Linked DNA regions of Saccharomyces cerevisiae S288C. Changing the gene in region 4 together with the main gene of any one other region gives a genetic interaction. Each region holds a gene or a part of one and is shown on either strand. Other genes may lie near its edges. The genes, in order: PDR1, SDH1, SOL2 and RPS6B.

The links.
Region 1: mutations in RPS6B (region 4) and PDR1 together harm fitness more than expected from each alone (negative genetic interaction), as found in Saccharomyces cerevisiae (2 studies listed by BioGRID).
Region 2: mutations in RPS6B (region 4) and SDH1 together harm fitness more than expected from each alone (negative genetic interaction), as found in Saccharomyces cerevisiae (2 studies listed by BioGRID).
Region 3: mutations in RPS6B (region 4) and SOL2 together harm fitness more than expected from each alone (negative genetic interaction), as found in Saccharomyces cerevisiae (2 studies listed by BioGRID).

Annotation. Positions count from the first base shown.
Region 1 is NC_001139.9:465,733-475,162, reverse strand, and holds PDR1 (drug-responsive transcription factor PDR1), read left to right. Parts: upstream 1-2,864; coding exon 2,865-6,071; downstream 6,072-9,430. Other genes in the region: SCL1 (proteasome core particle subunit alpha 1), read left to right, coding at 1-674; ERG4 (delta(24(24(1)))-sterol reductase), read right to left, coding at 887-2,308; PUF4 (Puf4p), read right to left, coding at 6,356-9,022. UniProt on the Saccharomyces cerevisiae protein: Positive regulator of proteins involved in permeability. PDR1 and PDR3 jointly control the transcription level of both SNQ2 and PDR5.
Region 2 is NC_001143.9:166,396-174,401, reverse strand, and holds SDH1 (succinate dehydrogenase flavoprotein subunit SDH1), read left to right. Parts: upstream 1-3,272; coding exon 3,273-5,195; downstream 5,196-8,006. Other genes in the region: proteasome regulatory particle base subunit RPT1, read right to left, coding at 1-189; AVT3 (Avt3p), read right to left, coding at 541-2,619; DBR1 (RNA lariat debranching enzyme), read left to right, coding at 5,573-6,790; MCR1 (cytochrome-b5 reductase), read right to left, coding at 6,950-7,858.
Region 3 is NC_001135.5:241,778-248,599, forward strand, and holds SOL2 (Sol2p), read left to right. Parts: upstream 1-5,185; coding exon 5,186-6,133; downstream 6,134-6,822. Other genes in the region: RSA4 (Rsa4p), read right to left, coding at 1-575; mitogen-activated protein kinase kinase kinase SSK22, read right to left, coding at 811-4,806; cystinosin-like protein ERS1, read right to left, coding at 6,256-6,822. UniProt on the Saccharomyces cerevisiae protein: May be involved in regulation of tRNA subcellular distribution.
Region 4 is NC_001134.8:589,359-596,236, forward strand, and holds RPS6B (40S ribosomal protein eS6 RPS6B), read right to left. Parts: upstream 3,417-6,878; coding exon 3,411-3,416; intron 3,059-3,410; coding exon 2,354-3,058; downstream 1-2,353. Other genes in the region: DTR1 (Dtr1p), read left to right, coding at 383-2,101; SMP1 (Smp1p), read right to left, coding at 4,148-5,506; YBR182C-A (uncharacterized protein), read right to left, coding at 6,003-6,197; YPC1 (phytoceramidase), read left to right, coding at 6,757-6,878.

The DNA.
Region 1 (9,430 bases), on a different chromosome or scaffold from region 4:
AATATGCCTTTAAAGCGACTAATCAAACTAACATAAACTCACTAGCGGTCAGAGGTAAAGATTGTACAGTGGTGATAAGTCAGAAAAAGGTCCCTGATAAACTGTTGGATCCAACTACTGTTTCGTATATTTTTTGTATTTCAAGAACAATTGGTATGGTAGTGAACGGACCAATACCGGATGCAAGAAATGCGGCCCTAAGAGCCAAGGCTGAGGCTGCAGAATTCCGTTATAAATATGGTTATGATATGCCATGCGATGTATTGGCTAAGAGAATGGCTAACCTTTCCCAAATCTATACTCAAAGAGCATATATGAGACCATTAGGTGTTATACTCACATTTGTTTCGGTAGATGAAGAATTGGGTCCCTCCATTTACAAAACTGACCCTGCAGGTTATTACGTTGGCTACAAAGCTACTGCGACAGGACCAAAACAACAGGAGATCACAACAAACTTAGAAAACCATTTCAAAAAGAGTAAAATCGACCATATTAATGAAGAATCATGGGAGAAGGTGGTAGAATTTGCTATTACTCATATGATTGACGCACTGGGTACCGAATTTTCAAAGAATGACTTGGAAGTCGGTGTCGCTACAAAGGACAAATTCTTTACCTTGAGTGCTGAGAACATCGAAGAAAGGCTAGTAGCAATTGCTGAACAAGATTAACATACTTCCTGCCACAACATAATGTGAAATCACACGCGTCAACACTCAATATATGTATGGACACGTTTCATTTAGGATTTATTTTATAGGAAAAAGTAGATCAAGTAATAGAAAATCGAATCTTTTCAAGCCCTTTTGTCGCGTAAATACATCAATACTTTTATATACAAACTGTAAAATAAGTTAATGAAGTGGATAGAAAAAGAAAATAACTAGAAAACATAAGGAATAAAGACGTAAGGGCAATGTTTACAATACTCATCCCAATCTTTTCCGTACTTTCTCTTACATTTTGCTTGGTCTCTGAAGGCTCTGTGAATCAGGACAACAAGGAAGAATACTGGGAAAAACCATGGGAACACCGAGTTGAACCCGCAAGACAAGGCCCAAACGAGAGATTGAGTCCAATCGGCAGTGTAGTGAATTTTTCTAGCCAAAGTGTACCAACCATCAATCAATAGGTACGATCCATTGGAGGTAACCATATACTTTGGATTCTTCAAAATTTGGTATGGCAAAAATGGGAAAGTCTTCCTACCTGTCTTGTCACCAGACATTTGCTTTCTGAAGGCATTTTTCTGAGCATTTGCCGTGTCAAAGAAGTAGTAGGCGCATAATAGAACAACGTACAGCGAAACATTGTACAGTGTAGACCAGTGATATTCAGATGGGTCATGGTAGTACAAATACAACGTACAATGACAGTAAGTGTATGGGACACCGGCAATATTCCAGAAGATCAGCATAAATCCAAACTTTTCGTAAGCCATGTCCCAGGTTGGAACAATCAATTCTTCACCTTTAGCACATGCGTTCGCGTACAACCAATGAGCTAACATGACAACCCCCAATTGTGGTGTCACATAGCCGTAAGTCTCCCACTGCTTCAAACAGGCACCCAAAGTGATAAAGTAAAGGGTGAACCAAGGTAATCTAACCTCGAAAAACATCTTCAAGTCCAAAATCCCCCACCTAGGGTTTAGTGGAGCTCCCATGAAGAAATCATATAGATGGTTTCCTGTCATTCTATGATAGTCATGTGAGATAAATAAAGTCCATAAGTACAATATGATGGAGAAGGCAAACCCTGAAATAATGGCACATGTCATGATCCTCCCAAAACGGTCAATAATGACATACAATCTAAAAAGATTGGTAAAGTGCAAAACCAAGACCAAAGTGGTAGTTACATACAAGGTCCACATGGCATTACAAAAGTAAGGCAATTGTTTTCCCTTCAAATGAGACAATGGTTGACCTTTTGTCCAAATCCCGGGCAACGTATAGTAGAAAATGATCTGAAACACCCAAAATGTTAAGAAAATAGTCCAGTCATACTTTTCTGGGATACCGTTCTCCAAGACTAACTGGTATAGGTGCTTGATAAAGTGCATCCACGATTCACCAGCCTTGGGTAGGGCAACCTTACCGTGATAAAATTCCGCACAAATCCACATATAGTACATTAGCAGTGGAAACCCGATCAGCATACCAATAACACCAGTAGTCCCACCAAACTCATATTCGATTTCATTTGGCTTCAGCCATTTACCCTGAGGCAGGAAATTAACCGGTTGCTTGGACTTTTTCTCCTCTCCCTGCACCTGCAGCTTCTCACTATTATCCTTTGCCATAGCGATGCTAATCTATGTACACTACGTAAATATCCGTATCTGCCTATCTACATAACTGAACTACATTCCTACGTTATTACCACTGTTTGGTAATTTTTCCTCGAGGATATATAATTCTGCTTTTCCATAGTAACGCCAAACGATCGCGTAATACCGGCAATTACGGGATGCACGAAAATAGCGCCAAGGAACGAAAAAGAAATGAGTCTCGTTTAGTTATTAAACGAGAAGAAACGAGCCCTGATTTACATTCTCAGGGTCCAATAGGGCTTTGTTGGAAACAGACGCATACCCTAAATGGAGTTTCTTTTCTTGTTCAAGACCTAATGAGTGGCAATAAGAGGCGCTAATTAAAGCTCTTCAAAACAACCTTATTCGCCTATTACACATGATCAGCCACTCTTTCATTGTCAACAATAGCATGATAGCAGGACCATAGCGGCCATATAGACATTACCAGGAGTGAGTTTTGGCTAAAAAAAGACAATTTGCACATCACTTGCTAACTATTCATCTCAGCCAAGAATATACAGAAAAGAATCCAAGAAACTGGAAGATGCGAGGCTTGACACCTAAGAACGGTGTACATATTGAGACGGGTCCGGATACAGAATCGTCCGCGGACTCCAGCAACTTTTCTACAGGTTTCAGCGGCAAGATTCGTAAGCCAAGGTCGAAAGTAAGTAAAGCGTGCGATAACTGTAGAAAAAGAAAGATAAAATGTAATGGGAAGTTTCCCTGCGCAAGCTGTGAGATATATTCATGTGAGTGCACGTTCAGCACTAGACAAGGTGGCGCTCGAATAAAAAACCTTCACAAGACGAGTTTGGAAGGTACAACCGTACAAGTCAAAGAGGAAACAGATTCCAGTTCGACTTCTTTTTCTAATCCTCAGCGATGTACAGACGGGCCATGCGCAGTGGAACAACCAACGAAATTTTTTGAGAATTTCAAGCTAGGTGGTCGTAGTAGTGGTGATAATAGCGGAAGTGATGGGAAGAATGACGACGATGTGAATAGAAACGGTTTTTATGAAGACGATAGCGAATCACAGGCAACTTTGACATCTCTACAAACCACTCTGAAAAATTTGAAGGAGATGGCTCATTTAGGTACACATGTAACCTCAGCCATCGAGAGCATTGAACTTCAGATAAGTGACTTGCTTAAGCGATGGGAACCCAAAGTGAGGACCAAAGAATTAGCAACAACGAAATTTTACCCTAATAAATCAATAGAAACTCAATTGATGAAAAACAAATACTGTGATGTGGTACATTTGACAAGATATGCCGCTTGGTCAAACAATAAGAAGGACCAAGATACTTCTAGTCAACCTTTGATCGACGAAATCTTTGGTTTGTACTCTCCTTTCCAATTTTTGTCACTTCAAGGTATTGGTAAATGTTTCCAAAATTATAGATCCAAATCCAAATGCGAGATTTTTCCCAGGACCGCCAAGGAAACCATATACATCATGTTAAGGTTTTTCGACGTTTGTTTTCATCACATCAACCAAGGCTGTGTCTCCATAGCTAATCCCCTGGAAAACTACCTACAGAAAATGAATCTTTTACCTTCAACCCCATCTTCGATATCATCTGCAGGGAGCCCGAATACAGCACACACAAAATCGCATGTTGCGTTAGTGATAAATCACTTACCGCAGCCCTTTGTGAGAAATATAACCGGAATAAGTAATTCTGAGCTACTAAGCGAAATGAATAATGATATCAGCATGTTTGGCATTTTATTGAAGATGTTGGATATGCATAAAAATTCCTACCAGAACTTCCTAATGGAAATCACATCTAACCCCTCCGTGGCTAAAAACACGCAGTCAATTGATGTCTTGCAGGAATTCATCCATTATTGTCAAGCTGGAGAGGCGCTAATCGCCTTATGTTACAGCTATTATAATTCTACATTATACAACTACGTGGACTTCACATGCGACATAACGCATTTAGAGCAACTTCTATACTTTTTGGATCTGCTATTTTGGCTATCGGAAATATACGGTTTTGAAAAAGTCTTGAACGTAGCAGTTCATTTTGTTTCAAGAGTTGGTTTATCAAGGTGGGAATTTTACGTGGGTCTTGATGAAAACTTTGCTGAAAGAAGAAGAAATCTCTGGTGGAAAGCTTTCTATTTCGAGAAAACTTTAGCCTCTAAACTTGGCTATCCTTCGAACATTGATGACTCCAAAATCAATTGTTTATTACCTAAGAATTTTCGAGATGTTGGGTTCTTGGATAATAGAGATTTTATCGAGAACGTCCACTTAGTTCGCAGGAGCGAAGCTTTTGACAACATGTGCATATCCGACTTAAAATACTATGGCGAATTAGCTGTCTTACAAATAGTCAGCCATTTCTCATCATCTGTTTTATTCAATGAAAAATTCACGTCAATTAGGAATACATCAAAACCATCTGTTGTTAGAGAGAAACTACTCTTCGAGGTACTCGAGATTTTTAACGAAACAGAAATGAAATATGATGCTATCAAAGAGCAAACTGGAAAATTGTTCGATATTGCATTCTCTAAAGATAGTACTGAACTCAAAGTTTCAAGAGAGGATAAGATTATGGCTTCAAAATTTGTTCTATTTTACGAGCACCATTTCTGCAGAATGGTTAACGAATCTGATAATATTGTCGCCAGATTATGCGTGCACAGAAGGCCCTCAATACTAATTGAAAACTTGAAAATATACCTTCACAAGATTTACAAATCATGGACCGATATGAACAAAATCTTATTAGACTTTGACAACGATTATTCCGTATACCGTTCGTTCGCCCATTATTCTATCAGTTGCATTATTTTGGTATCACAAGCATTCTCAGTGGCCGAATTCATTAAAGTAAATGACGTTGTGAATATGATTAGAGTCTTCAAAAGATTTTTGGATATAAAAATTTTTTCCGAAAATGAGACCAATGAGCATGTCTTCAACAGCCAAAGCTTTAAAGACTATACAAGAGCTTTTTCTTTCCTGACAATCGTCACTCGTATCATGCTTTTGGCATACGGAGAGTCCTCTAGCACCAACCTCGATGTTATCTCCAAATATATTGATGAGAATGCGCCAGATTTAAAAGGTATAATAGAACTTGTCTTGGATACAAACTCTTGCGCTTATCGATTTTTATTAGAACCTGTTCAGAAGTCAGGATTCCATTTAACGGTCTCACAAATGTTGAAAAATAGAAAGTTTCAGGAACCACTAATGTCAAATGAAGATAATAAGCAGATGAAGCATAATTCGGGAAAAAATTTGAATCCGGATCTCCCAAGTCTTAAGACGGGCACTTCATGCTTACTAAATGGCATTGAATCGCCTCAATTGCCATTCAATGGTCGCTCAGCACCTTCCCCAGTGAGAAACAACTCACTACCGGAGTTTGCACAATTGCCTTCATTTAGGTCATTATCCGTGTCTGATATGATCAATCCCGATTACGCGCAACCAACAAATGGGCAAAATAATACGCAAGTCCAATCTAATAAACCAATCAATGCTCAGCAGCAAATACCCACTTCAGTACAAGTACCATTTATGAACACAAATGAAATCAATAACAACAACAACAACAACAACAACAATAAAAACAATATTAACAATATTAACAACAACAACAGTAACAATTTTTCTGCAACTAGTTTTAATTTGGGGACACTAGATGAATTTGTTAATAACGGTGATCTTGAGGACCTCTACAGTATCCTGTGGAGCGACGTTTATCCAGATAGTTAAACGTATACGTTTGTATAGATAAAAGTTCTCAAAAACTTCCTTCCTTTTTTTTTTCTTTTGAGTTTACTTATTTAAATAAGAACATTCTGTTTTCTAGGGCATCTCCTTCTCTTATTTCTTCAACACTATTTACCAGTATACCATAAAGTGAAAATTCCTATTTTTTTTGCTTTGGATATTCATTTGATCCTCAACGAAAAAAAAAATGATGTATTTTAGTATTGTACAAAAGATATTATATGAGGCTAACGTAAAAAAAGCTAAACTGAGGATATATGTATCAACTATGAATCTAAATGTAACATTCCGATGATTCTTTTACCATGAGGTGTATTTCTTATGGGGCCCACCAGTAAAGGCGCCACAATCTCTGATAGTCTTTTATAGAGATAGTCATTTTGCTTATGAGAAATGTCTAATGCTGTCTGTAAAACGTAATTTCCGTAGCTATCATTCAACAATGATTGAATACCCGTCTCGCCACCATTATTTAAAATTTCCAGAATCATTGGCTCCGAAACAATAGCTGTCTTCAAGATTTTTTCAATCACATTTGATCCAAATTTATGGATAGAAAGTTCGATGGCTCTTGGTTTCAACAGGTGGACAATTTTATGCGTATAATCATATTTGTTCTTCTCAGCCTCTTTGGTAATTATATATTGCACCACATAGTTGCCAAATGGATCCAAAGTTAATTTATCAACAAGGGCTAGCAACTTATCACACAGATTGTCACATTGTTCTGTAGTCCCATGATCTAGACAACGTTGCAAAACGCAACACCCGTGTCTATGAGTAGCAATATCAATACAGCTATCAGAGATTGCGTCAAAGATAAACTGGAAGTTTTCAGGCTTCAACCTTTGCAAACATTTTTGAATAACATGATTACCATTTAAATCCTTACTCAACTGGACAGTATAAGGGCGTAAAGAATCAACAACAATCTGTGCTTCTTCATCTGTTTTGATGCATTCAATGAGTTTTTGTAATGCCCTAGTACCATGAGGGTTTAAGGAAATTTCGACAAAATGAGGGGAAGATATTTTTGTGAGTACGATTCTTTGTTCTGTGGTAACCTCTTCCAATAGCTTCTGGATCAAATAATTACCGAATGAATCAGTCATCAATTCAACCGTATAATCCTTAGTTTCTTCAAAAATTGCGTCCGCCGCCTTACTGCCGAGAATATCCAACTGCTTTTGCAGAAAACGACAACCATGTTGGTCTTTACACAATGAGTGAATACTTCCGATATATTGGTCTAAAACTGCGTCCGCAAATCTCGACGACTCCTCAATTTTACGTTGTTTTTCCGCGCTGTTGCTGTTGGTAGCATTACTGTTATTATTATTATTGTTATTATTATTATTATTATTATTGTTATTATAGTAGCCATGATAACTGTTTTTCATATTTTTCATTTTACCAACGTTAGAACGACCTGTGTCTTTATTGTTGTAATTAGAATTACCAATGTTGTCATTGTCATTATGACTTGACATGCTATTGTTATTACGACCATGATGTTTATTATTGGCGCTATTCATTAACGGCATATGATTTTGAGCCAACAAATGAGGCGGAACCATTGCGTTGAAGGGAGGTGGAGTGCTATAAAGCCAGGGAGGAGGGGGGGTGTTTTGCTGGGGAGGTAATATGTGGAAAGGTTGCATTGATGGCCCAAGATTAGGATTTATTAAATCCATCCTAACATTTGGACCCGCCTTGTCGTTATCGGTGGTGGGCTTACCACCATCATTCTTCATATCTGAAAAGGCAACAGAATTTGAACTAGGGTTTAAAACTGGTGCAAGATGAATTGGCGATTGGGTTAGAGGAATTGGAGAATTTGCATTTAGTGAATGACTCGTAGGATTTAAAATCGGAGAGAAAGGTTGAAATTGCGCGCCCATTTCATAAGAATTAGGAAAAGGTGATCTAATACCATAGATAGGGGAGGATATATTATGTGGGTGGCCTGGCATAATAGGATTTGGTTGAAGTAAAGGTCCCCCATATGGATATGCTGCACCATAAGTTGTAGGACTCTCTTTTTTAGCTGGTGCAGTTTTATTAATCAAATCCTCCTTCGAGGTTTCTATTTTGAAATCGGATAATTTCTCAGAAACACTATTGGTTGGGGGTATAAATGACGTTGAGGAGGGAGTATTATCAAAAGATATGGATTGAGTTCTGGTTTTTGCAGTATTGTTAGCTCCTACAGACGGTTTCTTAGCCTTAGAAAAATTCTGCATGTCAGATTGGAAGTCCTTTGACAAGGTTACATTGTTGGCCGCATTGATAAGGTCAGTTGGTGATAAAGCATGAAAAGTTTGTCTTCTGAACGAACTAGCCTTATTATTAGACTCCCTGCCCTTAGATGGTAGGCTTTCTTGTAGAGTAGCGGTGGTTTCTTCAATGGCTACAGATGCTGATCCTGGTACGTTTGAATGAGTCCATAACGGATCAGCCGATGCGATTGGCAATACCTTCATTGAATTGTCATTTATCAATGGGTTTAGATTTTGTCCACCTTGAGTTGCTACCGCAGCACCCGAAGACAGCATTTGAAATGGAAGTGAGTCATTCTTGAATAACATTGGTGGACCGCCTGCATTCAAGGGCGAGCTACTCAATGGTGCTGTTGGATCATTAAAATCAGGGGGCGGAAAAAATGGACAAGGATTATGAGGAACCTGCATCATTTGAGAGTAGGGCATGAAGCCCATTCCACCCATCATTTGTGGATGTGGAAACATTTGCGACGGAGGGCCATTAGCGAATTGAGAATCTTGAGAAACTTTATTCGCAAATGCATTAGAGGTGGCGTTTTCCTCTGGATCATCTAGTTGCAACTGCTCTAAAGCAGAATTGACTGTTTCTGAAACGACAGGGTCTACTGATGGTACATCATCGATTTCTTCTTTCAAACCTTTTGTAGACATAACGTAGGTCCACTTAAAAATGTTACAGCGCTTAGTTCTCTCTTTCTTAAAAGATATCGAGGACAAAGAAACAGTAAGAACGGAAAATGAACAGAGACTCTTAAAAGAACCTAAAGAATAAGCGAAAATAAAATATGAAAAGAGAACTAGTGGACAATATCAACAGGAATTTTAAGTGTACTAAAAATAAATCGTCTGGAATAGTGTACAAAAACGAATAATATTAATGACGGCTCAAATCCTAACGTTGGAAACTAAAATACAATAAAAATAATGTACAATGTAATATACGGAAGAAAGTTTTTTTTCTGTTTCAACAAAAAAAAAAACTATTCAAAAAAAAGACGTGAGGTACTGTTTGCTGTTCACCTTCGGAGAGAGATAACCAACCGATATTCTCTTTGAGTC
Region 2 (8,006 bases), on a different chromosome or scaffold from region 4:
GATTCTCGCTTCAATGTCTTTTAAGTCATTCTCAGTTTGCTTTAATTTGGCTGCGTATGGAGCTGCACCGTATGATTTTAAGACTTGAATGTCACCTTCTGTTAAGGGTACGATCTTGTCATCATCAGGTTTTTTATCATCGTCTTCCAAAGGTGCCTTGTATTTTTCCCAGTCTTCTTTTGGTGGCATTCCGTATAGTTCCTAACTTCCTTGATTTATTACGATGGTTCAAAAAAATATCTCAATTGAATATTGCTTTGAATTCTCATCTCCTTGGAAAATACTGTATATACCCAGTTCTTTGTATAGTAAGCTGCATGCTAGTTTAGTTTTCGGGTGGCAAAATTCGGTAATCCTATTCACTATACCTTTTCCTCTCGTCCGGGTAAACTCAGCCATACCAAATTGACAAGGATAGTACATTTATGCTAATCATAATTAAAACAAGGTATGTGTGTTCCAGATGCATATAGATAACGAGTCATATATAAATATATATATATGTGTCTGTACATGATGTACTCGGTCAAAAATGGCGGATTACTGGCTCCACATTTTAATCGTCTGCCATGACGTGTAGGCCATGACAGCAACTCCAAATACTATGACGATTAAATCTAAAAGAAGCCTGGCTCTCGAGGTTCCAGATAAGATGGACGCCTTATAGTGCAACAATGGCGGGTATATGTAGATCAATGGGATACACGCGAAGGAGCCTACCAGTGATACAAATTTGTCCAAATCGTTGGCGCCTACCCAAGCGAGGATAGATGTCAGGACGACAATAGCGCAACGGAAATAGTTTTTCAACCATTTGACTTTCGGGTTGTATTTACCAGATGCATTTGAGGGAAAAGTCCAGTTTTCCAAAATACGTATCGCGGGAAATAGCTGCAACGGCGTGGATAACAAAATGGCTAATGCATACAGTAATTGAACAGTGAGAGTATAGGAAGTGTCCTGCGGAAAATTCAATAAAACAACAGTTTTCACGTCAGATCCAAAAGCGGCATAGCATAAGAGACCACATGATATGAAAATCACTGCCACGATACACATCACCGCGGACAACGATGGCCGGAAATGCTTCGGGTGTTTCATTGACTCCTGAATGGGGATAAGTAGGCCTATACCTTCAAAGGTGAATATGGCGGTACCGATGAACAACGACCAGTCCGCTTTATTGAACATAAGCATTGTATCGGATGCGACACCATTAACAGCAATATAATAAATGGAGTAAACGTAAACATAAACCAATCCCAGTAGAATAAATAGATCTGCTATTAACGCGGTCCCACTTAACTTGGCTATGTTTCTTGTCAAAGATAGTGGGACAAAGATGAGTACTTGTGCAAAGATATAGGTGGCTAGACTGATGCTGCCCGGTTTCAAATGGAAGAAATTTTCAGAAAAGACCTGCAAATTAGTTGCAGTGAAAACAGTGTATGCAGCAGAAAACCCGATTTGTGACAAGGCGATAGACGAAAGAATGGCAAATTTCATTTTGGGCCCATATAGTATACGACCCATGTCACCGTACCCATCTACGCCTACTTTGTCCTTGGTGGTAATCAATGATACGAAACATCCATAAGAAATGAGGGCACACGAGAGTAGACAAAGGGCGCTAAATCCCCAACCACCGTTATGGAAAGCCTTTGGTAGGAAAAGCACACCTGTCCCAACAAATGACTTTAACAAGAGCAGCACCGCCTTTACCGTAGATGATTTGTGAGGATGGCGCCCGTGTTCACGAGAAACTAGCTGGGTGCTTTCCGTTTCCAAAGCTTCCTCCTCTGGCTCCTCTTCAGTTTCTTCCTCCTCCTCCTCTTCTTCCGATAAATCTTCACCAGCGAAGTGGCCATACAAGGTCAAAAATTCAATAAAGTTCCTGGTGAAAAAATTCGGTATGGGCGCATCAACGTTATGTTTCCTGCGCTTCTGTATTATAAAAGATCTTCTGAATCCACCAGGAGCCCTGATTTCTTCGTGCGTCATCGGTGCGGGCGCCAGGCCTATTGCCGCTAGAGGATTCCCATTCGCCTCCGAGTTGTTGTTAAGGTGAGAGGAAGATGCTATAGAAGCGGCAGAAAAGCTCATAGACCTTTTACGATTCGAGAATGAGGGCGCTTGTGAAGGTATTGAGGTGGAAAGTGCAGGTTGACTTGGGTACTGATACTGCGATGGTGATGAAGGATGGTCGTTTGTCCACTTATACAGATCTCTTGTAATGTCTCCGCCTTGCAATTGTAGGCTGTTACTCGGGTTTCTTATCAAGTGGCGTGCCACGGCATCTACCACATGTGGCTCAGGGTTATTTATGCTCACTTCAAGCGTGCCATTGTTACAGGAAGTGTGCGACGCGTCGGGTACGCTAGCATGCACCGCTTCATTGTTCACAAGCAGCGGCGGCTTTTTTAGCAAACCACCTGTAGTTCCACTAGATTTTCTACTTCTGCTTCTACTTCTACTATTACCGTTGCTATTGCCACCGTTGCCGTCCGTTAAAGGTGAGCCAGACGCATGCGAGATTCCTGTACTGCCTCCGTTGTTATTTTTTTTGTTGTTGTTGCTCTGCGTTCTTCCAGAGCCACTTGAAACCTCTTTTCCATTCATATCCGCGATGCAATCCCTTATACGCTTCTTAATAAACTTTGCTTCCCACTCTTTCACTACTGACCATCGATCCTTCTTATTTCATAGCCTCACGAGCACAAATGATAATACGAGAAAAAGGCCCGACCGGGTAACCAACCCTTTTACTATCTCTCGCTCTACCTTTAGTAATAATGTCGTCTATATAAGGATTTACTCATACAGTAGTCCAAAATATACCTTTCCGTGCTAAAAGTAGCTCCCAAAAGTAGCGGAGGTGAGGATCATCCTCTATTGCCAGGTACCAAGCTCGCTGGAAAGTCGTTATGGAGTCACGGCTTTGAGGGCGGGGGTGGACCAATCACAGCGCAGAACGCGGCGCCGAGCAAGCGCTGGACCAAGGGATCCGGGCCTCTTCTATTGGTTGTTTGTTTGCTCAAACCCGTTATATATTCAGGCATCCTCGACTCTAACCTTTTGCCACGTCGAGGCGGCTTGAAGCTTAAATAGCACTAATAAACTAGTAGACACATTATAACTAACCAGTAGTATACTTTGCACTTTCGATATTCTTTTCACTAATCTCCTCCCCAACCCCTTATTGAAGATAAAAAGAAAGAAAGAAAGAAAGAAAAAAATCCAATTTCATAGTACGAAGAAGAACGAGAATAAAGATGCTATCGCTAAAAAAATCAGCGCTCTCCAAGTTGACTTTGCTCAGAAACACAAGAACATTTACATCGTCAGCTTTGGTGCGCCAAACGCAGGGCTCTGTAAACGGTTCCGCGTCCAGATCTGCAGACGGGAAGTACCACATAATAGATCACGAGTATGACTGTGTGGTAATCGGTGCCGGTGGTGCCGGCCTTAGAGCGGCCTTTGGTCTTGCCGAGGCGGGCTACAAGACTGCTTGTATATCCAAGCTTTTCCCCACCAGATCCCACACTGTTGCTGCTCAGGGTGGTATCAATGCCGCTCTGGGAAATATGCACAAGGATAACTGGAAATGGCATATGTACGATACTGTGAAAGGATCTGATTGGCTAGGTGACCAGGACTCCATCCATTACATGACCAGGGAAGCGCCCAAATCGATCATTGAACTGGAACACTATGGTGTTCCTTTTTCAAGAACTGAAAACGGTAAGATCTACCAAAGAGCCTTTGGTGGTCAGACCAAGGAGTACGGTAAGGGTGCTCAGGCCTATAGAACATGCGCTGTCGCAGACAGGACAGGACATGCTCTTTTACACACGCTTTATGGCCAAGCTTTAAGACATGACACACATTTCTTTATTGAGTACTTTGCCCTCGATCTGTTGACCCATAATGGCGAGGTCGTTGGTGTCATCGCTTATAATCAGGAAGACGGTACCATCCACAGATTCAGAGCACACAAGACCATTATTGCCACTGGTGGCTATGGTAGAGCATACTTCTCTTGTACCTCTGCTCACACATGTACGGGTGACGGTAATGCCATGGTTTCGCGTGCTGGTTTCCCCTTGCAAGATTTAGAGTTTGTTCAATTCCATCCTTCAGGTATATATGGGTCTGGTTGCTTAATCACTGAAGGTGCTCGTGGTGAAGGTGGTTTTTTGGTTAATTCTGAAGGTGAAAGATTCATGGAACGTTACGCTCCTACGGCCAAGGATCTAGCTTGTAGAGATGTCGTTTCCAGAGCAATCACCATGGAGATCAGAGAAGGCAGAGGTGTTGGTAAGAAAAAGGACCACATGTACTTACAATTGAGCCATCTACCTCCGGAAGTTCTAAAGGAAAGATTGCCAGGTATCTCTGAAACAGCAGCCATTTTTGCTGGTGTAGACGTCACCAAGGAACCTATTCCCATTATTCCTACCGTCCACTATAACATGGGTGGTATTCCCACGAAGTGGAATGGTGAGGCATTAACCATTGATGAAGAAACTGGCGAAGACAAGGTTATTCCCGGTTTAATGGCTTGTGGTGAAGCCGCTTGTGTTTCTGTCCATGGTGCCAATAGATTAGGTGCCAATTCCTTGTTGGATCTTGTTGTCTTTGGTCGTGCTGTTGCCCATACGGTTGCTGACACTTTACAGCCTGGGTTGCCACACAAACCACTACCTTCTGATTTGGGTAAAGAATCCATCGCAAACTTGGATAAACTAAGAAATGCTAATGGTTCAAGATCTACGGCAGAAATTAGAATGAATATGAAACAAACTATGCAAAAGGATGTTTCCGTCTTTAGAACACAATCATCTTTAGATGAAGGTGTTCGGAACATTACTGCAGTAGAGAAGACCTTTGATGATGTGAAGACGACCGATAGATCAATGATCTGGAATTCTGACTTGGTTGAAACTCTGGAGCTACAGAACTTATTAACCTGTGCCTCCCAAACAGCTGTTTCCGCTGCTAATAGAAAGGAATCCCGTGGTGCTCATGCAAGAGAGGATTATCCAAATAGAGATGACGAACATTGGATGAAGCATACATTATCCTGGCAAAAGGACGTCGCTGCCCCAGTGACTTTGAAATACAGAAGGGTTATCGATCACACTTTGGACGAAAAGGAATGTCCTTCCGTACCTCCAACTGTAAGAGCCTACTAATTTGAACCTCATTGTATTTTACGGAAAAGAATATCATACTCTTCTTTAATTGCACTTTTTTTGTGCGTTTGCACTTTTTTACCACTGACTCACTAATTTGTATATATACCTATTAATATACATTTACATAAAGTTTCTTCTTATACATACTCTATTTATTTAGTTATTTATTAACTTACTATTTATTTATTTATTTATTTATTTATTTATTACTTTCAATTTTTTATCGAGGCATTTCCTTAGTTCTCCAATTTTTTTTCTCATTAGCCAGATGTGTGTTTTTCTGGCCCTCACAAAAAATGAGCAGGAGAAAGTCATATGGCGAACGTAAATATGTAACTAAAAATTAAGATGGGCAGACATTTATCATTTTGCTTATGACTAAATTGCGAATTGCTGTACAAGGGTGCTGTCATGGTCAGCTAAACCAAATTTATAAAGAAGTGTCACGAATCCATGCGAAGACTCCCATCGATCTATTAATTATTCTTGGAGATTTTCAAAGTATTCGTGATGGTCAGGATTTTAAGTCAATAGCCATACCACCAAAATATCAAAGACTCGGTGATTTCATATCATACTACAATAATGAGATTGAAGCCCCAGTCCCTACTATTTTTATTGGCGGTAATCATGAATCGATGAGACATTTAATGCTTCTGCCACATGGTGGTTATGTAGCAAAGAACATTTTTTATATGGGATACTCTAACGTTATATGGTTTAAAGGCATAAGGATAGGTTCATTGAGCGGGATATGGAAAGAGTGGGATTTCAATAAGCAACGACCAGATTGGAATGACCTAGAAAATAACAATTGGAAAGCTAACATAAGAAATCTGTATCATGTAAGAATTTCTGATATTGCTCCTCTTTTTATGATCAAGCATCGTATTGATATTATGCTGAGCCACGATTGGCCCAATGGAGTCGTTTATCATGGCGATACTAAGCACTTGTTGAAGCTTAAGCCTTTTTTTGAGCAAGATATTAAAGAGGGAAAACTAGGCAGCCCAGTGACCTGGCAACTACTAAGAGATTTGCGGCCTCAATGGTGGTTGAGCGCCCATTTGCATGTCAGGTTCATGGCCTCCATTAAGCATAATAAAAGAAGCCACGAACCGCCTAATAAGTCAACTTCAAAGACAAAAAAAAACAATAATGAAATAGATTTGGATTTATCCAGTGACGAGGACGAAAGGTCTGGTATTATGAATTGCCAAGAAGAGAATGAGTATGATTCCAAATACGGCGAGACACGGTTCTTGGCGTTGGACAAGTGCCTGCCAAGAAGACGTTGGTTAGAAATTCTGGAAATAGAACCGGATACATCGCATGCTTCGTGGAAGGACGAGAATCACCGTATGTTCTGGGATCCTGAATTTATCAATAATTTGGTAATTTGTCAAAAAAATAAGAATCTCCTAAGCAATAAACCGTTTAATAGCGTCAATTGGATAGAACTGTCTCAATCTAATAGAGAGGAAGGAAGGGATATTGATTGGGAAAATTATGCCATTCCTGCATACACCTTAGATATTCAGAAAGATGAAGTACGACAAACTAAAGCATTTATCTCTAAATTCATGACTTGAGAGATATTTCTATTACGAATGCAGACGGAATTAGAGCTTAAAGCCAAGCCTTCTTGAGAGAATTTTTAGTCATACACATGAATATATATATATTTTTTATATATTTACTAATTTGAACGATCCGAAATTAAAAAAAATATCAATTACTTTCCTCCATGCTTAAAATTTGAAAACTTGGTCCTTGGAGTAGCCCAAATTGTTCAAGATACCGATCAATTCACCTTGGTCCTTAGGTGACTTCTTCTCACCTGAGTAAGCGTTCATAAATGGTGGGGGACCGCAGACAAACAAATGTGTGCTTTCCTTTGGACCTGGAACATGCTCCTGAATAAAATCTTTGGAGATGAAACTAATTTCACCATCAAAGTCTTGGTCATCTTGCTTGTCGTCAACAAAGTAAGTAACATTGAACTTGTCAGGATACTTTTCCTTCAACGCATCCAGTTCCTTCCTTAGTAAAATGTCCTGAGGAGTCTTGTTCCCATATAGCAAGTTAACTTTGGTCTTGTCGTTTGGGTTTTCAACTATATGATGAGCTAATTGGTACAGAGGGTTGATACCGGTACCGGCACCTAACAAGGTGATTGACTTGAACTGATTAGGTTGCCACTTCCATTTCATAATAGGACCCTTGAAAGAAACGGTGTCATTTGGTTTAAGACCAAATAAATGTGAGGTCATTTTACCACCTTCATAATGCTTGACGACCAGCTGGAAGTGACCCTTCTGGGAAAGATCACTCACAGGAGTGTATGGTCTCACCACATTGGATCCCTTTGGTGTGACAAATTTAGCAAACAGAGCAGATGCTAGGACCAACCCCATTTCTGAGTCTTCGGTAGGCAGCTTAAAAGTAAACCTTCTGGTGTCGTGGGATTCCTCCTCTATTTTAGATATTGGCAAGTCGATCCATTTGTCATCACCTTTGAACACTTTATTAGATTCATTGAAGACAAAGGAATGTTGGTTACGGTTTGCAAAATAGAATGCGGTAGCAGCTGCTATAGCAACTGTACCTAGAGCAATCGGTAATGCTTTTGAGTGAGATCTGGATAATCTGGAAAACATGTTTTTGACTTGGAATATTATTTTAACCTATATACGTTATACTATTGTTAGTTTGGCTGCTTCAAAACGTTAGTATTGAGGGAAAAGGTAAGAGTACTTAACACAAGCGGGCATTGCGAGCAAACTGCATTCTTATATACGTACCTCT
Region 3 (6,822 bases), on a different chromosome or scaffold from region 4:
ACGCAGAGAACCCAATTGTAGTGACCCTTTAGAGTATGCATTGGCGTTTGGGTGTCACAGTCCCAAATCCTTGCAGTATTATCACCTGCACCGGTTACCATCCTAGAACTCGTATGTGGTGCGAAGGCAGAACACAAAATTGTGGAACCGTGACCTGCAATGGCTGATGAACTTCTAGTTACCGGCTTGACTTTGAAAACTGCTCTTGGCGTATACAGTAGCGTGATCTGATCTTCTGTACTGTTATAGCCTGGTTTTATTAATGAAGAATATAGGTTATCTGTTATATCAATCGTCTTCACAGGGTCACTGGCCTTCTTACCTTGAATTGTACAGCTGAAGGTATATGGCACTGGATCGTCTGAAGTACCGTTCAATTGATTTAAAAGTTCTTCTAACTGTTTCTCGGAGATAGCACCGGGAACTCTCAGGGCGCCACCTACATTGTCACCAGTATCTAAAGCTTGGAACTTGATTGAAACATTGGGTAAATCTTTCGGAATAATAGCTACTTCTCTGGGAAGTTGAGCCTCTTTCTTTTGTTTCTTAGAAGGTGGAGGAATCAGGGTGGACATCTGTATATTGTGTTAGTGTGTGTTTATCGAGGTTACAAATATAAAAATCTTGTGATATATGTCTTTTAAAGATACTCTTTTTGAAGCTCATCGCATTTTTTTTTTTTTTTTCATTTTAAAATTTTTCACCGGTTTCTCGGGTAACAGCTCTAAATGAAATCTTGCCTTCATCACCATTATTGAATTACATTACATTATATATCGTAGTATATCATATTTTTAGACGTTGACCACTCTATGAGCTTAGGATAGGTACTTGATCTTTCTCTGAGTTGCCAAATGCTATTTCACGGATTTGTATCATCCAAGGGTCTATCAGTAGTTCCACAGCAGTAGCCCTCATAGTGGGGTCTTGAACCAAACACCTTTCCAAGAAGGCTCTTCCCGCTGCAGTCATTTCGTCTCTATTGGGTAGTTGCGGTATTCGACCTGCAGCAACGTGGTACATGATGGCCCATTCATTATCCAAGTTAGACCAAGGTCGTCTACCTGTGGCCATTTCTAGCACAACACATCCTAATGCCCATACATCGTCCGCTCCAAGTTTTCCCTTAACTGCCGAGCCTGAAATAGTCTCTGGAGCCATATACATCGGTGTCCCCATCATTTCATTGAGGGACTTTGTTTCTACTCCAAAATCTTGAACGGCTGCGTTCCGCACAGTTCTAGTCCTAGATCCTACAACGGTACGTGCCGTACCAAAATCCACATATTTTATGATTCCATTGAAATCCAGCAAGATATTCTCCGGTTTAATGTCGCGATGCACCACGCCAGATTGGTGCAAATATGCCAAACCTTCTAATAGTTCGAATGTGTACACTTGTGTTACCATTTCATCTTCAATTCTTCCATGATCCAATAACGAGGCTAAAGAACCACCCTCACAGTATTCCATGAAGATGTTAACTTTATCGCGATGTACTTCGACACCATAGTACTGGACAATATTAGGATGGTTTAACATTTCCAATACGGTCATCTCTTCTTTAATCAGGGGAAAAATCTTCTTCATTGTTGTGGTATCGTGTATCTTTATTTCCTTAACAGCTAAGATTTCACCGTTTTCCAGATTAATTGCAGAGTATACCTGTCCAAATGTTCCACCGCCAATGAAGCTTCTTTTTTGCCACCTCATTGATACATTCGATAATGAGGATGCTAGCGATAGTAGGTATTTGTTTCCCTGATCTGTAGCATCCAATACCTTACCCATTTGCCTGGGATTCCTCTTCATAGTCTTTTCCAACGTCTTTATAGCTTCCAGTCTCAACCTGCTGTTTATTTCTAGGGTGGCCTCTTCATCAATATTCTCTTCAGTATCAATATTCAATCTTGCCTGTTGCATGCCATTTTCAGCTTCAGTGGCTCGTGCACCCATAACGTCGAAATGTGAAATTAATAATGACATACATACTGATACCCTCTCCTTCAGTTCTTGAAATTGCTTTACATTCAGCGCCAGGATATTATAACCACTAGTCATCTGCATCGCAAAATCCATTGCAAGAACGCACCATCGGAAAGTTCGCTGATCGGTAGGATCACACTCTTCAACAAGGAATTTCAACCAGTTCATTCCTAATTTAACCATCAGAAAGATGATAACGTACTTCCTCTTTGAGCTAAAGGCGTTATATTTAAGGAAACTTCTTCCAAAATCCCTTCCAAACATGAATATCGAATTTAACAACTCATTTCCCGGACATTGCTTCATAAAGCTACCTAGAATTCCTTTGTAGTTGTTCAATACTGTATAAGTAAGTTTGTAATATGCCTTATTGATTTTTTGTAGGGAGGATTCAATTGAATTGAGTGAACAACGTTTCTCTATGAATGAAACAGAATCACCTACCGTTTGATTAAACTTGTCGATTTGATAAGTCAGTGCATAATTAGAACCTTGATTGAGTAAAATCAACGTATTTGGGTTACCAATTTTCCCTAAATCCATTTCGTTGGATGCAAAAAGGTTGTTACCTGGAAGCTTATATACTGGTCCATCCCAAACTACTGGCTCTCCAGGATATAGTACAACTAGTGCACCCAATGAGCTCAAAGCAACTTCCAATTCAAAAACTTCATTGTTCTTTTCATCAAGGTGCTGATCAAAAGGGTCTGTTGAAAAATTCTTCTTTTTGGACTGATGAGCATGCCTGTCCAAATCACTTGACGAATTTGCTACTACTCGGTAGTAAGGAATTCCTTTGGAATCCTCCCCTTTCGATACTAGAATGTTCAAATCTGTTTCTTTTGTTGTTATATCATACACATTCAAATTATTTCCAATGTCAAGCTTTGGGACCAAATCACAGCCAATGGATTTATTTCGCAAAATTCTTAAGATGGTATCATTGTCACAACCTAATAATTCAGGAGCAGCAAACATATATACACCACTAGACTCAAAAGTGTTACCGGAGTATACCAAAAAATAGTGAGCATCTTTTAACTTTTTAACAAGTTGTGCATTATGATTAATCTGATAAACAGCAGAATTTTGGAACGCCTTGACTAGAATATTGCTGAACCTGTTCAGCTTTCTTTTCATGGCACCCAAATTTTCGAAAATGGAACTTAGCCATTTTTCTGCTTCTGAAGCGTTAGCAAATGTTGGTGGGAAGTTTTGTTGTTTCAAAAGATAGAATTGCAATTTATGTACGAGTCTCAAAGTTAACTTGAGAAATTCATTTGGAATCACGGTTTCTGCACCGTTAATATAGTGACCGGTGTTTTTTAGGTGATCCCAGTATTTCAAGAGTAGATCGGGTGCTTTGAAATTTTGTTTACTGGAATCAATCAACTTTAAATTCAACAGAAAAAATAAATAACGAATGGCTTCTATTACAGTATTTTCGAACGTCGGGTCAAAATCCACATCGAACGGCAAATTGGAGCAATATTTTGTCAGTGTGTACTTCAATTGCACAGAAAGTCGAATAAAAGCGTTAAAATCATCGATCATTTGATCGATCATCATCATTGTTGGATTTTTAAGCTTTCGTGCATATGACAATCTAGTCAAAATAACTTCTTTGATTAAATAGACGGGGAACGCCAGTAGTGATCTTAACCTTTCATAAGGATATTTTATGTTCATCTTTGTCAAAGTTTCTCTGTAGACTATAAAATGTAGTTTCAGTTTGAACATCCAAGGTGATAGCGGATAGAAAATTTTTTTTTGGAATATAGACTCGATGTTCTTTTCCTTCATCAATTGTTCTGCAAGAATCTTCATTTTGCAGTTCCATTGGGGCACACCATCAAAATCCTCTTGGCAATTATCCGAACTACTTATCGGTGAGAAACGGTTTATCCAGTCGTCCAACTCTTGCCTCCTCAACGTTAAGTTCGTTTTAAAGTTCAGCCAAGAATTCATTACGTCTATTCTAGCGGTAAATTCTGCAGTATTGGTGATTGGTTTATCCTTATACATTTTTTTCAAGTTAGGCCAATAAGAGACAACGCTGTGATATCTGTTCATGAGGTCTTGTAAGATGGCCTCCAGTGCATCCAGGCTCAATATCTTGCCCTGTGGAATTTGAAACTTCATTATCTCTTCAAAAACGGAATCTGAACTATCTCTTAAATATGTAAGCGACTGTTCCATCTCTTGCATGGTCCTCCCATTCAGCCATGCCTTCAATTCGAGCCATATCTCATCTGAGAGCTCCTTATTTAACCCTGGTTTCTTGACTTGGTTAGCAATCCTCGTCTTTTCACCTTTAACAATATCTCCCTTCAGCACTCTGGCCAGCATTGACTGCCATTTGAACCGTTCGGTCGCAATTTCATTCCAAGCTAGTTCATCACTGTCTGACCTCATTTTCCTGCAATAAGGTGTAGTGGAGAAAAACTTGACACCTGAGTGCAGGTCTTCATCAATTCTGTCGCCATTAGACAACCGAATAATTTCGTCATCACCGTCGTCTTCCTCGTAGCGGTTAGTGAGTTTTATGCCCCTCGTGTAGTAGTCATCTAAAGCGGTCTTTTTTAGCTTTTTCAAGTATAGCGATTCATTGAAAACGTATCGGTCCTTAAAAGTCAGCTGACTGGGGCCGTCGCTTATTGTTTCCGAGCCACCCAATGCTTTCAAATCAGATCTTGATAGTTTATGGCTGGAATGACTTGATAATCTCTTCACGAGCTTACTTGAGATGGTATGAGGAGCCAGAACTCTCCCGCCTTCAGCCGCTTTTTGTTGCTGTGTATTCAGTATATCCATCATCATTTTCACCTACAAGGAACTACCTTTTATAGCCACCCTAAGTAAAACAACATTAGCTTAGCATCCTCAATTCTTATCGTATGTTGTTGCTGCTATTTTTATCCTATTGTTCCTGGCATCGCTTTTTTACATAAGGTACCAAGGCAAGAGAAAAGACCCGCGAAATTTTCAATTCGAGACATAGGGTTAATACGAAATATGTTAAGGTCTAGTTTCCAAAAAATGAAGAAAATGTGATTAGACATCCTGGGGAAATTAGGTTTAAATAGGGCGGGCGCTACAGGGGTTTTCCTAACAAATTTCAATGATAATAGTGGCATCATCATCGTCATATCCAGTGTAGGTATGGACTAGAACAGAAAGCAATTTGCAGCAAGACAATATGACTACGACGGTACCCAAGATATTCGCGTTTCACGAGTTTTCAGACGTGGCAGAGGCCGTAGCTGACCATGTAGTCCACGCGCAAGACGGTGCATTGGCTCCAAAGAACGAGAGGAAACACTCTGTTCCCAACATCAGCATGAATGCACTGGATATGACGAGAGAGGCCTCTTGCAAAAGCACAGCATCTGCCGCGGAAGGGAAAAGTGGTAGCAGTGGTAGTGGCAGTGGTAGCAGTAAGCCCAAAAAGGAGAAACGGTTCAAGATTGCTCTCTCCGGTGGGTCATTGATCGAAGTGCTACACGAAGGTCTGCTAAAACGAGACGATGTACGGTGGGGAGACTGGGACATTTACTTTGCAGACGAGAGACTTGTACCCTTCAGCTCGAATGAAAGCAATTATGGATGCGCCAAAAGGAAGATTTTGGACCTGATAGACACGGCGAAGTATGGAACTCCGAAGGTGTACCACATTGACGAGTCATTGATTGACGACCCGCAAGAATGCGCTGATAACTATGAAAAGGTGCTAATCCGCGGGTTTGCCGGTAGAGATTCCGTCAAACTTCCGATGTTCGACTTGTTCCTGCTTGGTTGTGCCCCCGATGGTCATATCGCATCACTCTTCCCTAACTTCCAGGACAATCTACGTGAGAAACTTGCATGGGTGGTGCCCGTGGAGAACGCTCCTAGTGGGCCCTCGACCAGAATTTCGCTGACTATACCTGTAATCTGCCATTCTCACAGGGTTACTTTCGTTGTCGAAGGTGCAACCAAGGCGCCCATCATCAAGACCATTATGGAAAGGCCTGAAAAGGGCCTACCTAGCAGTATTGTCAACGAAGGTGCTGCTGGTCGTGTATCATGGTTTGTTGACGACGATGCTCTTACGGACGTCCTCGTCACCAAAAAAAAGTATAAATTCCACCAAGGTTTGTCTATTTAAACCATGCATGTGTGTACATACATACATACACACATACATACATACATACATATATTTATGTATATTTATGTATATATATATATATATATATATGCGTAATTATGCAGATTTCTCCTTGTGTGCTACAGCGGGTACTCTGACGCCAGATCATGGCCTCGAGATCGATATACAAACCACTGCATGATAAAGATGAAGTTGAATATTAAAGTTACCATTGACAGTCCCACTTTTCCAAAATTTGTCACGAACGTATCCAGACTGAAACCTTGATCGTTAGACAACTGCCAAATCAATTGGAGCAGCGAGGCGATACCGCCAGTGACATCTAGAAACACACCCTGAATGGGGAAACAATCCATAGATTTTCTTGTCGAGTTATGCGTCACTTGTGGGATGTACTTGATTAGTGACATCGATATTTTGAGTAAAAACAAATTGTTGCAATACGCCAGAGTTCTTGAGTTATGCCAATCGTACCAGTAGTTGGAGTACATAAATTGTACGGTTAGCAGTGAAAAAATGGCCAGTGATGCGAGTAAAATCCTTAGGTACCATGGATTCATCTTGCGGTGACCTTTACCTGGAAATCGCCAGATTCTCGCTCCAGCTACCACCTGGGTCAATAAGACAACATTCATCAAGCACCCATGCAGGCAATACCAGAAATCAAATTGCGTCAACTTGGGCCT
Region 4 (6,878 bases):
CTAGCGCCACGTATTAGTAATACTATAGCTATCTTGCCAGATAAGGGATCACAAGGAATTATATACCGTGGATCACAACTATCCATATCACTCTTCCCAATTTCGCGGAGAAATACTTATGCAGGTTTCCAAATCATTTCCGTAGCCAAAGCTGCCTGTTGGCCACTGTTTTGGCATCTCTCTACATTTTTTTTTTTCATTGATACTTTCAACCCAGACATTCTGTCACCTGGTGAAAAACGACACAAACTCCTTTGTAACAACAATTGCAATTTTAAGATATATGAGAATATTGATAAGGCTAGAAGGATGGTAGTAAGAAAAGTTGTTGTTGGTAATTTTTCAAAAAAGAGTTTCAAGAGCTGGGAAAAGAATTAAGGCAATGGGAAGCGAACCGTTTCAGAAAAAGAATTTGGGTCTGCAAATTAATTCGCAAGAAAGTGGAACAACCCGCTCAACATTTCATTCGCTAGAAGATCTAGGAGATGATGTAATTAATGAAAGCTGGGATCAGGTGAACCAAAAGAGAGCCAATATAGATCATGATGTCTTTCATGAGCACCCTGACTCTTCCCCATCATTGTCAGCACAGAAAGCAAAAACAAAAGAAGAGGAAGTTGCTGTAAAGTCATCGAACTCCCAGTCAAGAGACCCTTCTCCTGATACTCAAGCACATATTCCATATACTTATTTTTCCAAGGATCAAAGACTAATCATTTTTGGAATTATCATTTTTATAGGATTTTTGGGCCCAATGTCTGGAAACATATATATACCGGCTTTACCATTGCTGCAAAGGGAATATGATGTAAGTGCAACAACAATAAACGCTACAGTTTCTGTATTTATGGCTGTTTTTTCCGTTGGTCCATTGTTTTGGGGCGCACTGGCGGATTTTGGTGGAAGGAAATTCTTATATATGGTGTCGTTATCACTAATGTTAATTGTTAATATACTTTTGGCCGCTGTACCAGTCAATATTGCTGCCCTTTTTGTTTTAAGAATTTTCCAAGCTTTCGCTTCCAGCTCTGTGATTTCTCTGGGAGCTGGCACTGTAACAGACGTTGTTCCTCCAAAACACAGGGGAAAGGCCATAGCGTATTTCATGATGGGTCCAAACATGGGTCCTATTATAGCACCCATTGTTGCTGGGCTTATTTTAATGAAAGGAAATTACTGGAGATGGCTTTTTGGTTTCACTTCTATCATGACAGGAATAGCATTGATCTTGGTTACTGCTTTACTTCCAGAAACGCTACGTTGTATAGTTGGTAATGGAGACCCTAAATGGGGTGACAAAAAAGATGAACGTGAAAATAACGAATCTCCATTCTTCGAAGGTAATAAAATATCACATCGGCGTCTGTTCCCAGACATTGGTATCCGTAAACCAGTCAATAATGATGCTTTCTTCCAAGAAAATTTTCCAAAGCCGCCTAAAGCAGGTTTGACACTATATTGGAAAATGATTAAATGTCCTCCAATAATAATCACGTCCGTCAGTACTGCACTCCTGTTCTCCAGTTACTATGCGTTCAGCGTCACGTTTTCGTATTACCTTGAACATGACTACCGTTTTACTATGTTAGAAATTGGTGCTGCTTATGTCTGCCCAGGTGTAGCTATGTTACTAGGATCTCAATCTGGTGGGCACCTCTCAGATTATCTTCGTTCACGCTGGATCAAAAGTCATCCTAAAAAGAAATTCCCGGCAGAGTTTCGTTTATTACTGAACCTAATTGGAATTTTACTAACAATATGTGGCACAATAGGATACGGATGGGCAATCTTCTTTCATTATCATTTTGTGGTTCTTTTAGTTTTTTCCGCTCTCACTGCCTTTGGTATGACCTGGTGCAGCAACACATCAATGACATATTTAACTGAGTTATTCCCCAAAAGAGCTGCTGGAACTGTTGCTGTTAGTAGTTTCTTTCGAAATGTGGGCGCTGCCATTAGTTCCGCTATCATTTTACAGCTCTGTAACGCAATGGGAATTGGATGGTGTTTTACAGGGCTCGGTCTCTGCAGTTCAATTTCATTGATTGGTATATTATATCTTCTCATTTTTCAAAGAAAATATACTGCCAAAGAATTTTAAGAAATAGTTTATGTTTAGCTATAAAATTTAACTTTTAGAATTTTATTATATTATTTAACTTTCAAGAAAATTTTCTCATCACTCATCCCAAGGACTTCAAGAAATAGAACAATGCATCATAAGTTTATGAATTACGTGCATTTGGACCTTCAAAGAATAAAATCGAAGTTATAGTTAATTATATTAAATTAAGCCAAAAGTACATATATCTAAAAGGAAAAAGTATAAAAATTATGCAGGTCCAAGACATACTTAAGCCTTCAAAGAAGAAGCTCTTCTCTTTCTGATTTCGGCCTTTTCAGCCTTTCTTTCAGACAATCTCTTAGCCAACAATTGAGCGTATTCGGCAGCAGCTTCTCTTTGAGCTTGAGCGTTTCTGACCTTCAAAGCTCTTTGGTGTCTCTTTCTTTGCAATCTTTGAGGAGTAACCAATCTTTGGATCTTTGGAGCCTTGGTGTAAGTCTTTTCACCCTTGGTGACTTCTCTTCTGATGACGAAATCACGAACGTCATCTTCCTTGGACAAACCGAAGAACTTTCTGATGTTGTTAGCTCTCTTTGGACCCAATCTCTTTGGAACAGTAGTGTCAGTTAGACCTTCCAATTCTTGTTCACCCTTCTTGACAATGACCAAAGCCAAGACAGCCAAATCTGGACCAACAATGGCACCTCTGACGGACTTTCTCTTTCTTTCACCATCACGTCTTGGTCTGTAACAAGAAACGTTCTTGGTCAACAACAACTTGATTCTAGTTGGCAACAAAACACCTTGCTTCATTGGGAAACCTTGTTTGTCGTTACCACCAGAGATCTTGAAGACGTAGCCCTTGAATTCATCACCAACGGCTTCACCATCGACTTCTTGACCGATTCTCTTGTCGAAGAAAACACGAATACGGTGTTCATCATCAATTTCGAAGGTCTTTTGAGACCCGTTGACTGGGTAAGAAATGTTCAACTGTTATAAATAATACCATTTGTTAGTAAAGTTGTCCGAAGCCAATATCGACAAATTCCAACGAATCCCTGCTGTCCTTTCTTCCGTTACAGGTTTTTCTTATTTTCATTGATATTTCTAAACCCTTTTCGTAAATTCCTTTTTCATTCCTTAATTTGAACTTAGCGAGATATTTTCCTAAGTGTCGGTACGTGTATATTAGAGGGAATTATCTCGTTTAAACAACGTTGTTCTTGAGAATTTTTATTATAGTGCACTAATTTGTGGGTATACGTTTATCAAACAGTCAGAAACAGCCGGTTAGCGCGTGCTGATTCATTAGAATTCTAAGGATTTGGGTGATATTACATACCTTCATGATGGCTCAGTCGTCTATTCACACTGGATAGTTTCAATTAATGACTTCCAAATGTTTTGAAGGGCACACTATTCAAATTAAGATCACTTTTCATAAAGATGAATTTTTCTCCCATCAGGCATTCATTGACCGTGCCCTACAAACCAAGCCAGCCGAGATTGTATCAGCTCCACGCACATAGGATTTTCGCCTGCCCTTGGCCCATACCGAAAGAGTTTCCTAGGATGATGGGCCGGCATGAAGATAAGCGGCCTGTATGCCCGAGACACTGAAAAAAAACAGCAAAAAAATAAGATGTATGGAGTTCAAAGATGTATGGATGCAAGAAAAGAGGTTAATGGTGCAAACTGTAGAAAAAAAAGTAAGGAAATAATTTATTTTTAATAAAATTAACTGAAAAGATACATGTATATTTTTCTCAAATTAATCAATGCAATATGTGATATATTTGCTATCTGGCTTAATGAGATAATTTTTTACATAATTATGTTGAGAAGTTAACAGGGCAGTCTCTATTGTTTTGATCGATTGAGTGCACAAAAATTGGAAGGGGGCCGTGGAGCACTACCTGCAAATTGCTAGAAATTTGCGTCACTACATCTGAAAAATGTACGAGCGACATAATTGTCTATAGCCCTAATTTAGAAGACGTTTGCCTAAATGCGCCAACATACACTCTTAATTTTAAGCGAATGCTTTCTTGTAGTAAAAAGTAGCTAGAAAGCGATTCATTAATCTGGAGAGTTTGTCGAACTCGTGGATTTCAAAGTTGAACTAGCTACCGAGGAAGGAAAAACCACAATAGATGAAGACGGGCTTTTCGGAAATTTAGGCGGTCTTCCAATTGGCGGTTTCAGAAAGAATGTTTTGTTATTTACATAAGTGCTGCCACATCGGCCATTATGATATAAGTCGTCCATATCATTGTTCTTGAATCCCAAAAACTTTGAACGAGAAAGAGGGGAGGACATGTTGCTGGCGAGCATTTGATTGGGAGTGGCTTGTACATCCGTTTTCGGTGATGCGGTTCCTGAATACATTGCTGGCGACCTCTGGCAAGCGTCATTTGTGGCCTTCGGAATATTTAGCTTTAAATATGGCTTCCCTGAGAGCTTTCCTCTATTGCTGTTCAGTTGGTGCAGGTGATGGACCATCGCCTGCACTGGAGCTGGACCTTCCAAAGTATTTGATATAGCAACTGTCGGGTGTATCTTTTGCTTTGCTTCAAAGCTCTCGCTGTCACCCGTCCCATTAAATCCTTTTCCCATTGGGTTACTATTTGCCGGAATAACCTGTACAAATTGCGATTGAAAGGATGGAATATTGCCCACTAAACTTGCAGGCAATGAAGGCTTTGGCAAATTCTCGTAAGGCGACGGGTAAAAATTATGATAATTAGAGTGGTTAGATTCAGAAAGTAGTAAATGAGTATCCGGCCTAATCCTCTTGTTCATAAAATTCCTATGAATAGCCTCGTTTGCAACATGCTGTTGGTCTACGCTTTCTTTATAATCATTAGCATGAAAACTCCCACCAGAATTTAAACCGCCTTGCAACATTTGATAATCTGCACTATTTCTTGCACAGTCAGAATGATTGGATCCGCTACGTGATATTGCTCCGTGGCAATGCACCAATGGTGTACTTACACCAGCGTTCCCGGCGTCATTTGACGCCAACGGAGCGCTTAAATTCCCATTGTTTTGTACACTGGAGGAATCTTGACTCGAAACTGTACAACTCCCAGAATGGGAAGCTGGTTGCAACACGGTTGCTCTTCTTCGCCTGCGCTTCCTTTCATTCAGAACAACACGTGGTTTTTTCACATAGTCACCATAATCAGATGGTTCTATGATATTATGAGGAAGATCAGTGTTGTTTTGATGAACATTAAGCAGGTTACTCATATCAACAGAAGAGTATTCGTAGAATGTATTATTGGATCCTAAAATAATGACAGCAATGTCTACTTGGCAAAGTACTGACAATTCATGAGCCTTTTTAAATAGTCCTGCTTTTCGCTTTATGAAAGTAACTGTACGATTTCTATCATCTTTGATAGGTTCAATTTCAATTTTTCTTCTACCCATTTAGCAGAAATTTTTTTGAAAATAATTGTGTTTGCTTATCTAGAGCTTTATTAAATTTTTTTCTGATGAGATAGGCCTGCTCGAAAAAATAGTCTGTCTTTGAATTTGGCTCGTATATTTCTCCCTTCGAATGAATGATAAAGAAAGACTCAAAGGAATGATGTAGTGTTATATAGATTGGCTAAAATAATTTGGCAAAAGAAAGATGGATAAGGATAGTTCATGTTTTTGAGTCCTTCACGAACATAGGAAGCCGGGTATGCGTGGAGATTTAAGTTTTGCCAAGCCTCCAATTACTCGAGCGAGATTATTTTTGCAGAAGAAACAAAGACGCCGCTTGTTACTAAAAAAAGAAGGCAACAATAATGCAAAAAGTTCGAACCAACTGTACCTCAAGCCGTTTTGTAAGCCACTATCATCGGGAACGGTACAGGTAGAATGATAGATGAAATTTACGTAAGCGTTAATGGAAAACAATAACGATGTGGTGTAAAAGCTAGTGCGTAGTGTGAGTGCCACTAGTTTTCTTTGACAGCTTAAGAGCAAGCTTTTGGAGCTCACAATCAAGTGAAACAAGAATTATGTTCATTTTCTCCTTCGGAACTGCAGAATAAAAATTCTTTATACTATAAACACCGCCATTATCAAAAAAGTATTGCTGAATCATGGTATACAGCGTGAAAATCTTCATGGCATTTCTACAAATTCTTTTTAGTTAGTATCGCCAACCATTAACCTTTTTAGTAATGCTGACGTTAAACGAAGGCGAAAAAAAATACTTGGCAACACCATCGTTTATATTTTTTTCAAATGGAAGTGTCGGCCGACGTAGCATAGCAGGAAAGATTCAAAGGCAAGGGTTTCACATAACGTTACCCTTCTGACCACGCCCCTTCTTTCGATCCCACTAGTGCGGACGGATTATCACGCAAGTTTTTTAACGCGAGACATCGGAAAATATTTATGCCGATTAGATCCGGCCCCTGAAACTTTTTGTTTGATACTTTCAAACGCACTACTCTACCCCATGACATAAAAAATATCTGTCTCCGGTTATATATGTCTAAATAGAATTCGGGTAGCATTTTATTTTTATCGCTTATAGGAAAAAGATATTTGCATATATATATCTATATATCCTATATACATCTATATAGTTATTGTGTAAGGGGTTTTTATAAGGTCCGATACTTACAGAGATTAATTTGTAAATAAAAGCAGAAATCTTTATTTAAGAAAATAGAAGATTGATGGGAATATTTCGTTGGAACTATCCAGAGAGTTCTGTCCCCGGCGTTTGGGGAGAAACAACTTCCACTATTGACTGGTGTGAGGAGAACTATGTCGTTTCTCCCTATATTGCCGAGTGGTC